Lonchura striata: one gene and its partners. The protein of the gene in region 3 purifies or fractionates together with the protein of the main gene of each other region. This does not show direct contact. Links are inferred from orthologs where the notes say so. Each region holds a gene or a part of one and is shown on either strand. Other genes may lie near its edges.

Evidence for each region.
Region 1: the proteins of GOLGA7 (region 3) and ZDHHC5 purify together in Homo sapiens (co-immunoprecipitation; 3 studies listed by BioGRID and IntAct, with this or other methods). This does not show direct contact. The link is inferred for Lonchura striata from reciprocal best matches to the Homo sapiens genes GOLGA7 and ZDHHC5.
Region 2: the proteins of GOLGA7 (region 3) and CLDND1 purify together in Homo sapiens (affinity purification with mass spectrometry; 3 studies listed by BioGRID and IntAct, counting the BioPlex papers as one, with this or other methods). This does not show direct contact. The link is inferred for Lonchura striata from reciprocal best matches to the Homo sapiens genes GOLGA7 and CLDND1.

Annotation. Positions count from the first base shown.
Region 1 is NC_134608.1:53,132,103-53,135,846, reverse strand, and holds the start of ZDHHC5 (palmitoyltransferase ZDHHC5), read left to right. Parts: upstream 1-1,138; 5' UTR 1,139-1,210; intron 1,211-3,744. Other genes in the region: polyribonucleotide 5'-hydroxyl-kinase Clp1, read left to right, coding at 47-718. UniProt on the Homo sapiens protein: Palmitoyltransferase that catalyzes the addition of palmitate onto various protein substrates such as CTNND2, CD36, GSDMD, NLRP3, NOD1, NOD2, STAT3 and S1PR1 thus plays a role in various biological processes including cell adhesion, inflammation, fatty acid uptake, bacterial sensing or cardiac functions.
Region 2 is NC_134604.1:24,184,394-24,188,137, reverse strand, and holds the start of CLDND1 (claudin domain-containing protein 1), read right to left. Parts: upstream 2,642-3,744; 5' UTR 2,546-2,641; intron 1-2,545. UniProt on the Homo sapiens protein: Plays a role in negatively regulating the permeability of cells to small molecules.
Region 3 is NC_134634.1:4,769,090-4,772,833, reverse strand, and holds the start of GOLGA7 (golgin subfamily A member 7), read right to left. Parts: upstream 2,488-3,744; 5' UTR 2,331-2,487; coding exon 2,220-2,330; intron 1,321-2,219; coding exon 1,168-1,320; intron 896-1,167; coding exon 794-895; intron 1-793. UniProt on the Homo sapiens protein: May be involved in protein transport from Golgi to cell surface. The ZDHHC9-GOLGA7 complex is a palmitoyltransferase specific for HRAS and NRAS.

The DNA of each region.
Region 1 (3,744 bases), on a different chromosome or scaffold from region 3:
GCGTGGGGACACGGGTGCCTCTGTGTGACCCCTCCTCCTCCCACAGATCACGTCGTGCCTGGCCGACGTCTTCAACCAGCGCTGCGAGGTGAACCGGCGGGCGTCGGTGAGCGGCTGTGTCATCAACACCTGCGGCTGGGTCAAGAGCTCGGGCTACCAGGCGCTGGTGCACGCCGCCTCCGCCTTCGAGGTGGACGTGGTGGTGGTGCTGGACCAGGAGCGCCTCTACAACGAGCTCAAGCGGGACCTGCCCCACTTTGTGCGCACCGTGCTGCTGCCCAAGTCCGGCGGCGTGGTGGAGCGCTCCAAGGACTTCCGCCGGGAATGCCGGGACGAGCGCATCCGCGAGTACTTCTACGGTTTCCGCGGCTGCTTCTACCCGCACGCCTTCGACGTCAAGTTCTCCGACGTCAAGATCTACAAGGTGGGCGCGCCCACCATCCCGGACTCGTGCCTGCCGCTGGGAATGTCGCAGGAGGACAACCAGCTGAAGCTGGTGCCGGTGACGCCGGGGAGGGACATGGTGCACCACCTGCTGAGCGTCAGCACCGCCGACAGCCCCGACGACAACATCTCCGAGACCAGCGTGGCCGGCTTCATCGTGGTCACCGGTGTGGACCTGGAGCGCCAGGTCTTCACCGTGCTGTCCCCGGCTCCGCGCCCCCTCCCCAAGAACTTCCTGCTCATCATGGACATTCGCTTCATGGACCTCAAGTAGGGGAGGGACGGGATGTGCCCCCCGCCTCCTCCTTCTCCTTCTCCTCCTCTTCCTCCCTGAGCCCCCTCCTTGTCCCCCCAGCGCGGTGTGACCCTTTGGTTTTATACTTTTTGTACAGTTTGCTATTAAATCTGGAAGCCTTTGCCGCTGGTGAGCGTCTGCTGAGGGAGGGGTTCCCGAGGGGAGCGGGGATTGCCGGCCCGGGCTCCCCGCGCGCCGGGCCCGGTCCCGGCCGCCCCCTACGGCGCCCACTGTGGTACGTCCCGCGCACGCGCAGAGGCTCCGGCCGTGGCCCCGCCCACCGCGGCGTGAACGCGCACGCCCGCTCCTCTGCCATGCGCATGCGCGCCGCCGCGGCCGGGGCGGGCCGGCGGGAGGCGGCCAATGGAGGCGCGCGGGGGGGCGCGGTGCGCACGCGCGCGCGTGACGTCCCGCCCGCCGCAGCCGCCGCCGTCCGAGCCCGGAGCCGCCGCCGCGCGCGGCCTCCTGCCGGTGAGTCACGTGGGCCGCGCCGCCCCGCCGGGACCCCGCCGCTCCGGCACCGCCGCCGCCTCCCCGGCCCGACGCTCCCTCGCGCCCCTCGCCGCGGCCCGGCCGCCACCGCCCCCGCCGCGCCGCTGCCCCCGCGGCTCCTCCCGCGCGCGGCTCGGGCCGTGCCCCCTCACGGCGCCGCGGACCCTCCTGCCCGCCGCCCCAGCGGGCACCGACCCCCGCCCGGCCCGCCCCTCTGGCCGCGGCCCCGCTCCGCCGTTCCGCACGGCCGCCTGCCCGCTGGCCGCGGTGCCTCTGCACGGGAGCGCCGCTTCCTCCTGCCCCGGCCGCCGTGCCCGCGGCGCCGCCGGCACCGGGACCTCCTCCTGTGCCGCGGGGAGCCGGGCCGGGGGCTGAGGGAGCGGCGGTGCGGGGCTGGCGGGGAGCGGCGCCCCGCGGGCCGGGGCCGCCCCTGCGCACGGTGCGGGGCGAGCGCACCGGAGCGGGGCTCGTTCCCCGCCTGGAAACCGCCCGGGGCCGGGGAGCGGCCGCAGGGAGCCCCCGGGGACTCGTGCGCTGTCCCGCACCCGGCCTGGCCCCGGTGCCCCCGGGAGCGCCGCCCTGCGCTGCTTTGGGGCACCGGAGCTCGGCCCCTGTGCCGCGGTCCAGGGGAGTTTACAGCACGGCCTCTCTTCACGGCACCGGTACCGGCCCTGCTCCGGCTTTGGGCAGCGCTGGCAGCGGTCCAGCCTGGCCTTTCCTCAGCATTCCCAGATTCCCAAAATCCTGAGCTGTGCCGGTCCCCAGCCTCGGGGTTCCGCCCCCCTCACCGCGCCGACTGGGGAGGGGATCGGCTGCCCTGTGCTCCCCGTGGCTCTGGGAAGTGGTTCCCCCGGATCTGCCGGCTCCCGCCCCGGCACTCGGCTGGATTTGGGCTTCAGGGATTCTCCGCACTAGGGGCTGCTCGGGTTTTTTGGGGTGTGTGAAGTACAGCCAGAGCCTTGTCTCTATCAGAGTGGGAGTTATCTTGGAGCTTCTTTCTGAGCTTAATCCAGTTATCACCGTCCTTCCGCCGGGCCCAGGTGCTGCTTTAGCAGGCATTTATTCCCGTTGGTTCCCGAGGCCGGGAGCCCCGTCTGGCATTGGAGAGGGTGGTGGTTGTGTGGGTCCAAGGGGAGACCTTGAACTCCCCTGCGAGGGGCCTGTTTGGGGACATTCCCACCTGTTGCTGTGCCCGGTGTCTCCTAACACAGTGACAAGAGGCTGGCGCTGTCCTTGCTGCTGTGGGGCCCGTTGGGATGCGGCCTCAATGGATAAGGCATTGTTCCTCCTGCTTTGCCCATAAAATGGGGCTAATCCCCTGTAAACCAGAGGGATGGGCTGGGGAAGGAGGATGGGAGCGGTGTAAGCCCTGGGCAGGAGATAAGCATGGAGTGATTCCAGCCTTCTGGCTGTCTGCAGTGGAATATTTCTCCATGTTCTGTGTTGACCCTTCTGTACATTCACCTGGGAGAAAGGCGGGTGTGCAGGATGCCCCTGGAGCTGAGGGGTGGCCAAACATACATTGCTGTGCATCCTCCTTTGGAATTAAGAGCAGGGAAGTGTCTCCAGACTGCTCTGCTGGGGCAGGTGCTCTGGTTTGGACACAGGGCAGTGACCAGTGGGGATCTCACACTGGCATTGCTCTGGCCACAGTGCCAGGTTTGGGAAAATTTGCACTTCCTCTGATGGATTTTGGAGTGTGAAGTGTTAGCTGGTCGTACAGGACAGGGTGAGCAGAGGGAGCTGCAGAGGGAGGTGGGAGGTCCTTGTTCCCTGGATGCCCCTCACTCATGGTGCCAGGCAGCGAGCTCTGGAATGGCTCTGTGGAATTTTGGGGTGCAGCCAATCAAAACAATGTGGGAACAGGTGAAGCACATCCCATCTCCGTGCAGCTGGGATCTGCCCTGTCTGGGAGTTGCCTCACGTGGAAGGAATTGTTTGTGTGTTTGCCCTGTGCCATGGGAACTCGGCTGGACCGGGGTGGGTCGGGAGCTGCGGATCCCAGCGGGCGGCGCAGGTTTGGGAGCCGGTAACCGGGAGGGAACTCTGTCCTGCCTGTGCCGTGGTGGCAGGAGCCATGGTGGTTGATGCATTTCCTCCTTCCTGGACGGGAGCAGAGTGAGGAGCTGAAGTGAGGGTGGAGGGAATGTTGGGAGTTGGAGACACGTGTGTCCCCATCACAGCAGAGGTGTGGAGCGCCTCATGCTCCAGAAAGGAAAAAGCATGGAGCACCTGTCTACATGTGGGAAGGCTGGAGAGGGGCTGGAGCAGATGAGCAGAGTGGGGTGGGAAGCAGGGAAGGAGGAGCACAGGGCTGGGAGGGGAGGAAAAGGAGGAAATCTGTGAGGCTTTACAGGGCCTTGAACCAAGAAAAGGAGACACAGGCTCAGAGAAATGGAAGGTGGCAGCAGTCGTGCTTGCACTTATCTTGAGGGAGGGGATTTGGAATTAAAAGAAATCCCCAGAAATGGAGATGAAGCAAACAGGAGCAGCTCCCTTGTAAGAGTGGAGGG
Region 2 (3,744 bases), on a different chromosome or scaffold from region 3:
AACTTCAGATACCTCACCAGAAGAGAGAAGAAACCTTTGGAAAAATCTAGAGCTAGAGAAGAGAATAAACCTTGAACAACCCTAATAATCCCCTAGTTTCCAGGAGTCATGTTTTGGCAACCACATTGATGGTACTGTGACACACACTTTTGCACAGCCACTCAAGAGGCTGCAGCCCTCCTGAGGCTATTAAAAATGTCTGAAACCCCTGCTGATTCATAAAGGAGAGGTAACTCTTCTACTCTTCTAATTTTAACTACTTGTGAACTAGACTAATGATTCTTAAAAATCCTTATTTCCACTGTTGTCCAGATAAATACCAATTACTTTCAATATGGAAACTGCTGGTTTTGTTGAAAATCAACTGGAATTTTATATTATTATCTTAAAGAAAACTGGGGTTTGGCTGACTGAGAAGACCAAAAGCCTAACTCACAGACTACCCACCCAGTAATGAACTCAGCTGGATTAGTGTGTCTCTTACAATTCATGCTAATGGTCTCCAAAAGCTCTGAAGCCCCATGAAACTCATAATTCTGTGGCCTCACATAGAGAGAGGAGCCATCCAAACAGTGCTCCCAGCTGTGCTGCTGGACTGGATTTCCTGATGCTGCTGGCTGCACTTTCCTTAAAGTGCCTTTAAGCAACTTGGATGAAGTGTAGGACAAGGTCATGGTGATTTAGGCATCTCTGTTCCCTGCTCTTCCCTTGTGGCTGTAAGGACAGGATAAACTGTAGTGTAAAAACACAACAGCTGAAGTGTCTGCTAACTTAGTACCAGTAAACAGATAGTTATCCTTTTTTGCAGGATAACTACCAGGTTTTTCATGTTCATGGAGAGGACAAACAGTGACATGCATCTTCTTCCTTTTTATCTGAAAAAAGCAAACCTGACTGCAGGCAGTCATCTGGTTCACTAAGAGCACACACTTAACAGATTATTTTTCACATGTATCTGTCAAAACCCATAAGGGTAGGTAGCCATCCTTTGTCCTCAGAACTCACAAAATTCACTGAAAATTATGAGATGCCATGCCAAATCTATTCAGAGGTTCCTTTTATTTGCTTTTTAACTTGTAGGTTTACCCTTTAGCCACACACTTTCCTTGCACATGCTGGAAGGGAAATAATCATTCCTTTAAAAGGAAAGCTGAAGGGTTTTGAGGATATAGCCACCTATTAGCATCACACATAGTCAGTCCACTCAGGGAACAGCCATGCTGCCACATACCAATTTAGGCACTTCAAAACCAGGGTTTTTTTTTTACTCAGTTATTTAAGTCAGGTCTGAGATTTGCTTCATCAAGGGAGTCAGTCATAAACCCTGGTACCCTGTGGGGGAAAATATGCGTCAAGGACTGAAGTACTTTCTGTATTCATGCTCCATATTTTGATTTTACATGTTATAAGTCTGTAATGTCTTCATTACCTGCCAGCCCTCTATGGTGGATAGCTGCCAATGAGCTGCCCAAAAAACTTCTAACAGTACCCCTAGTGTTCTTGTCTTTTGTCTTTGGATACAATAATTTTTCTCTAGGTTTACAGATGACAATTGCCTGCACCATATTTCTAACACTGCACATGAACTAGCAAAAATTACTGACCTATGGTGAGTCAATTCAACAGAGAAATATTTCTTTTCCTCTCTCCCTCACCCCCACAGTGAACCCTCCTCAATAATATATGATGGAGCAAACTGCACTTACAACTGAAGTGGAAAATTTTTAAACCTAACTGCTATTAAGAAGTCCAAAGAAGAAGAATGGAGTTTATACGAACAAAGGCTGTTTTTAGAAACACAGCTAATCAGATTAATGACTGTTTTGGACGAAGTATTGCTTCCCAATAAATAGATAAGTATTATGTGTCATGTGTACACATGTTGATTTTATATAATAGATTTTCTTTTTCTGGAGTATCAAAGTACTATTTGGAAAAATGGGTAACTCCAAATAAAATTATAATTTTCTCCCTCCAGCAAAGTCTACCAGTTATTTTTACAAAATAGGACTTCTATCAAGTCAACCTTATAATTAGAATAATAAAAGCTCATTTGAAATCTAAAAACCACAAGCCTTTTCGTGACCAGAAAAGGTTTAATTAGCTACTCAGATTGCTAAAATAATTGTATGTAGCTCCAACTATTTTTGCCACCCAAAAAGAAGAAATAGGAGGCTTCCCACTTTCATGCTGAGCAAGGCAGCTCAGAAATATGGACAACTTAAAATGCTGAATTAGCCAACAGCCTCAGTGGCAGTTTAACTGACAAAAGGCAGCATTAAACTAAGGACAAAACAGCCAGTGGCCATTAAAAAGGTTTGGTTTTTGTGGGTTTACTTCCTTAAAAAAAAAAGAAACCAAACAGAAACAAAACCAAAAACAAAACAACAAAACTTTGGATTTAATTGACCACAGCTGAGAACAGATTACTCCTGCAGGTCACACAGCCACGTTGGCTGTTTTACAGTCCTGTGCCCTCCAAGCGTCAAAGCCGATCTGAGCACAGCATTTGGAAGGAAGCGAAGGCTGCTGAAGGAAAGATTACCTGGGGGGATCTGTGCTTCACTCCAAAGAGAGCAATCCTTCACTGGCAGCACTTTTAATATCAGGCACCACCGAGAAATGCAAGAGACAGTGAAGCCTTTGGAAAGAAGAGAAAATGTTACAATCAGGAAAAAATAACCGTCTTGAAGTATTTTTTCTAAGTAGGGAACTTAATCCACTTGTATTCAAATACTGGGTCACCCACATATTTTCTCTCACATCTGAAGTTTTTTTCTCCCAAGTGAACTGAGAATAAAATAGCCCCAAAACCAAGATTTGAACCCGTTCAACAAGGATGCTACTGTAAACCTGGAGATAGGAAGCTCTGGATATAAAGGTGAGTATAAACAATCTGAGCTCTTCACTGACATGTACAGCAGCTTGTACTTGTAAATATTTCTTCTGTTAAGATCTTCAGGAATCAGTGTATGTCAGGGTTGATAGCAAATGTTCTTTAAACCATTTCCAGATACACTCCTGTATGTCAGTGAGCAGGTTAATGCTTCTCCCACGAGGCACAGTGTGTACCTGATGCTGTGGTGTACATCTGAACACCACCATGTTATGGCACTGGGAAACTTTAATAAAGCAGTTTTATCACAGGTACTGTTGAAACAGTATGGAATTGTGCTGCAATTTTCTAGGTTTTTGAATAGCAAACCCATAAACATTTTAAGAAACATTTCACAAAGAAACACTTTGAGAAGTGGCCTTACATGAATCGCATATCACCTCCAAATCTAAATATAAAGAAATCTGCAACATGGGATTATCTAACCCGGCACACCCTTTCTCCCCCACAAAAAAAAAAAAAAAAAAAAAAAAAAAAAAAAAAAAAATAACCCTGGGTCTGCAAAGTACAGCGTGGTCACTACACACCCAGATGAAAGGAACCCCCACCTCTCGGGTGAGCGCTCAGGTAAGCAAACAAACACATGCGAAAAACTTTCTGTGTATTACGGAAACAACATTCAAGCCCTCCCCACCCTCCCCAGCTGCAGCTTCTCAGCCCCAGCCCGGCCCGTGCTGAAACCCGCTTCCCATTCCACGGGGTCAGGCGGCCCCGGGGAGAATTTACCTGTCCCAGCCTCACCAAAGAGTGGGATTATGGCTGTAAAACTGCTCCTCCCTTCCTCCAGCCACTCCTGCCCGACTCCCGCCTCCCTGAGCATCCCCGGCCGGGCTGGGGACCCCTTGTCC
Region 3 (3,744 bases):
TAATACTGCTAATAAGTCACCTACCAAACTGAAAATGCTTTTACTCAAATTGAATGTTGGTTGTTTTTTTTTTCTTTCCAGAAGGTGTATACACAATGGAAAAACACACTGAGAAAAAAGAAGTCATGTAGGTGACAGCTCTGAGCTACATGGACAAGGACACAGAAAACCCAACTTCAACGAATTAGCCTCATCATACATTCAATTGGCATTGGGTTTCAAGTTACTGTGGTTTCAAGATTTTCAAAGAAAGCTGTGTTACTCATTATACTTCCCCATTTGCTATGAGAGGTCTTTACAACTTCAGGCAATAACCACACAAAATGTCTTCAGTGTGGCTCAACGGCTGAAGAAAAAGGGTTGAAATAAGCCATACTGGAAGCAAGAGCAAGTGCCAGGCTTGCAGTGATGTTGTATGTCAAGATCTTCACCAAAACCTCAGCTGAGGGTTGCACATTAAGTAAATTGATGTTATCACATCCATTTCTGTCCTACCAACATGGTCACTTCTTTCCCCAGTCAGAAAAACAGCATTTCTGGACATTACTGGAATAGAGGCAGGATCCTGAGCGCTCTTTCCAGGCAGGCACAAAGGTTGGGTTCCACATCTTTATGGGCTTTGCACGCACCAAACCTTAACATACTAAAACCTGACTAGGGACCAGGACACAACAAAAAGCAACAAGATTAATCACCCATTCTGTATCACAGATCGAGCATGAGCAGAGGTGCCTCACTGAGACAAACGAGGAGCACAAGGCAGGAGACAATGTCAGAAACCAGAGAAGGATACAACTCTTAATCCTCTTTCAATGGGGTCTGTCAGCAGAAGGCCCTGAGGAGCATAGATCTTCTCATTCTGTTCCTGAATGAACTTAGCAATTTTCTTTAGAACCTGGCAATGAAACAGCACAGAAGTCACAACTGTTTCCTTTCAAACAGTATCACAGCTACGGCAAGGTGAGAACTGACACACAACTGCTCTGATGGCTCGACAGTGCAGGCACTTGCCTGGATTCAGGGTGCCCCCCATGGGACCCAAAGTGACCAGTACCAGCACGCCTGAGTTACATCCATACAGCATCTGCACCAGAACATTGCAAGTCACAGGAAACCCACCAGGACCCAAGTTCTTGCCTGCAGGATGAAAGGGAAACAAGCATTTACCTTTTCATAGTGTGTCTCCATGCACAGGAAGATGGTGTAGGCAGTCAGGCAGGCGAGACAGCCTTCCAGGTAAGATTGGCCCCCAAGTTTTTCAGCTTCTGCATAGAGGTTGTTCAGTGTCCGGACTGTCTCCTCAAACTGCTGCCTGTCAATCTGCAAGAAAAGCAAGTGGGGCTGTCAGGTGCACACTGCAGAACTCACCAGTAGCCTTGTACATCCACCTCCACTCAGGGATCATCTGCACTGCACTCAGAGCCGCAGCCTGGAGCACGCAGAGTTACACACCTGCAGCTCTTTGTCAGACACCTTCCTGTGCTCAGGCTGAGTCCGAGTCAAACACAACGTGGACACAAAACCATTCAGAGCAACACTCCTAAGCTAATGTGCAATTCAGCTGTGAAACAACCGGAATTCACACCCAGGGATGTGATGGGTTAAAATGAACAGGCGAGCGTGGAGGGACACTCCACACCCTCAGTGCCTCGGTGCTGCTGCAGTGCTGACCAAACGTACCCACAACAAAGGAACAAGGAAGAGAGAAAAGCCGAGCGAGCGAAAGAAAATGGGGTAGGAAGGCGTGTTTGTTTGACTGTCAGCTTAAGAGCCCACATCTGATAGCACTGACCAAAACGTAAGTACTTGAAACAGCGTTTGTGAGGCTTCTGAGTGGGCAGGACGGGTAGGATTTCAAGGGAGAGGACAATGCTATCACCTGAGAGAACAGACCCGACTCTATTCGCACAAACACAACGAGTACATTCTGCTCTACTGCAAACCAGCCACCTTCCCCAGGACTGACCAGAGTCCGGGACCGGGACACGAGGAAGGAACCACGTCCGCTCCTGCGCCTGAGCGGTTCGGTCAGATTCCTGCAGGAGATGCTACCCCGGCCCTCGGGGAACCCGCGGGACCAGCTCCGACCGAGGCAGGGCACCTGCGAACGCCACCTGGGCGCAGGCCCGTAAGGCCCGGCCTGGTCCCGCCCGGCGTGCAGGCTCCGTGCGCCGCGCTCGCCGCGAGCCCCGGGCCAGCCCCCGTCCGCCCCGCCTCACCCGGTTCTCCAGCTCGGCCGGGAACTTGCTCTGGAACTGGCAGCGCGTCCCACCGCTGTAGTCGCGCTGGATGAACACCTTGCCCGACACAGGCGCCTGCTGCGGCCTCATTGCGCCGCCGCCCCGGTCCCGTCCGGTCCCGTCCGGTCCCGCCGCTCCGCCGGCCGCCCCGCGCACTTACGGCTGTCGCAAAACCACCGAGGCGACGCCGGGCTCGGGTGAGGGCGGAAGTGCCGCCAGGCGCCACAAGGCGCGGCACTGCGCAGGTGTAGCCTCGGAGCCCGCAGAACGGCAGGAGCGCGCATGTGCAAAAGCACCCATATCCGATTGGGCGTACGGCTGATTTCAAGCGCGGCCAGCTCACGTGACACACCCCCCCCGTTCCCTCCCAGCCGTACTTGGTACCGCCCGGGCCCGCGGCAACACCGCCTGTCCCGGCGGCCCCCCGGCGTACTTGGTACCGCCCGGGCCCACAGTCGCCGGCTGTCCCGGGGCCCGGCCCTGTCCCGGGCCCGCCGCTCCCAGCTCGGGCCTCAGTTCCATGGTTTTTCGTAGGAACCGGAGCCGCTGCGCGCAGAGCGACGCTCCCGCAGCTTTGTCGCAGCTGGCTGTGCTGCCGCACGCGGGGTCCGGTGGCGGCCCGTTAACCTTTGCCCGAGGGCTCTGGGCTGCCGAGGCAGCGAGAGCAGCGGTCCCTCGGGCCAAGGCAAACCTGGCAGCAGAGAGCGCAGGGACGGCCTCACCCCGAGCGCCGTGTCCTGGGGCTGTGCCTCTGGAGCTCATCCTCCGGGACCCGACCTTCAGGAGGGGCTCGTGCTTGGGGTGCTCGTGCTTGTGGTGCTCGTGCCGACGGTGCCATGGGGCCACACAGTGCCACTCTGCTCTTCCTGAGAGCCATGGGCAAATCCGAGGTGTTGAGCAGCCACTGACCCCTCGCTGTTCATGGGCACAGTGTTTTCCAGCCTGACCAAGCATGGACGCTTGTGGCTCTCAGAGCAGACAGACACTTTGAAACAGAGTCTTTCAGGCCACCTAATGCAGTAGAGATGCAAGAGGACAAATCAAATTTATAGACATAGCTAAAGGTGGGAGATATACTCGCAAAGCCAATTTGTGTCATTTTATGGGCTTGAAAGAGTCTAAGTCAGACGTCCCTGTATGGTTTGAATTAGGCAGGGACGGGTATTCTGGAAAGCCAGATCTGAAGAAGTTTTTATTTAGGGCATTTGAAATTGAGTATGGGCCATCCAGCATTTCTGTAATGCTCTCAAATAAAGTATTTCAGAACACAAGCTTCCACATGACAAAGAAAATGATGAATACATGAAAATAGAGATATCTATCTTGCATTAAATATTCAGGAATAGAATTTCATCTGTGTATCAACAGACAAACTGAGAATTTCAAAGGGTGCTGCTTTCAAAAGAAAAATGTTTAAAAACCCAAAAATACAGAAAGAAGCTCTAAGTAGCACCAAAAAATGCAGGTTTTTTTTCTCTTTTTTTTGTGCTATCAACAAGGTTAT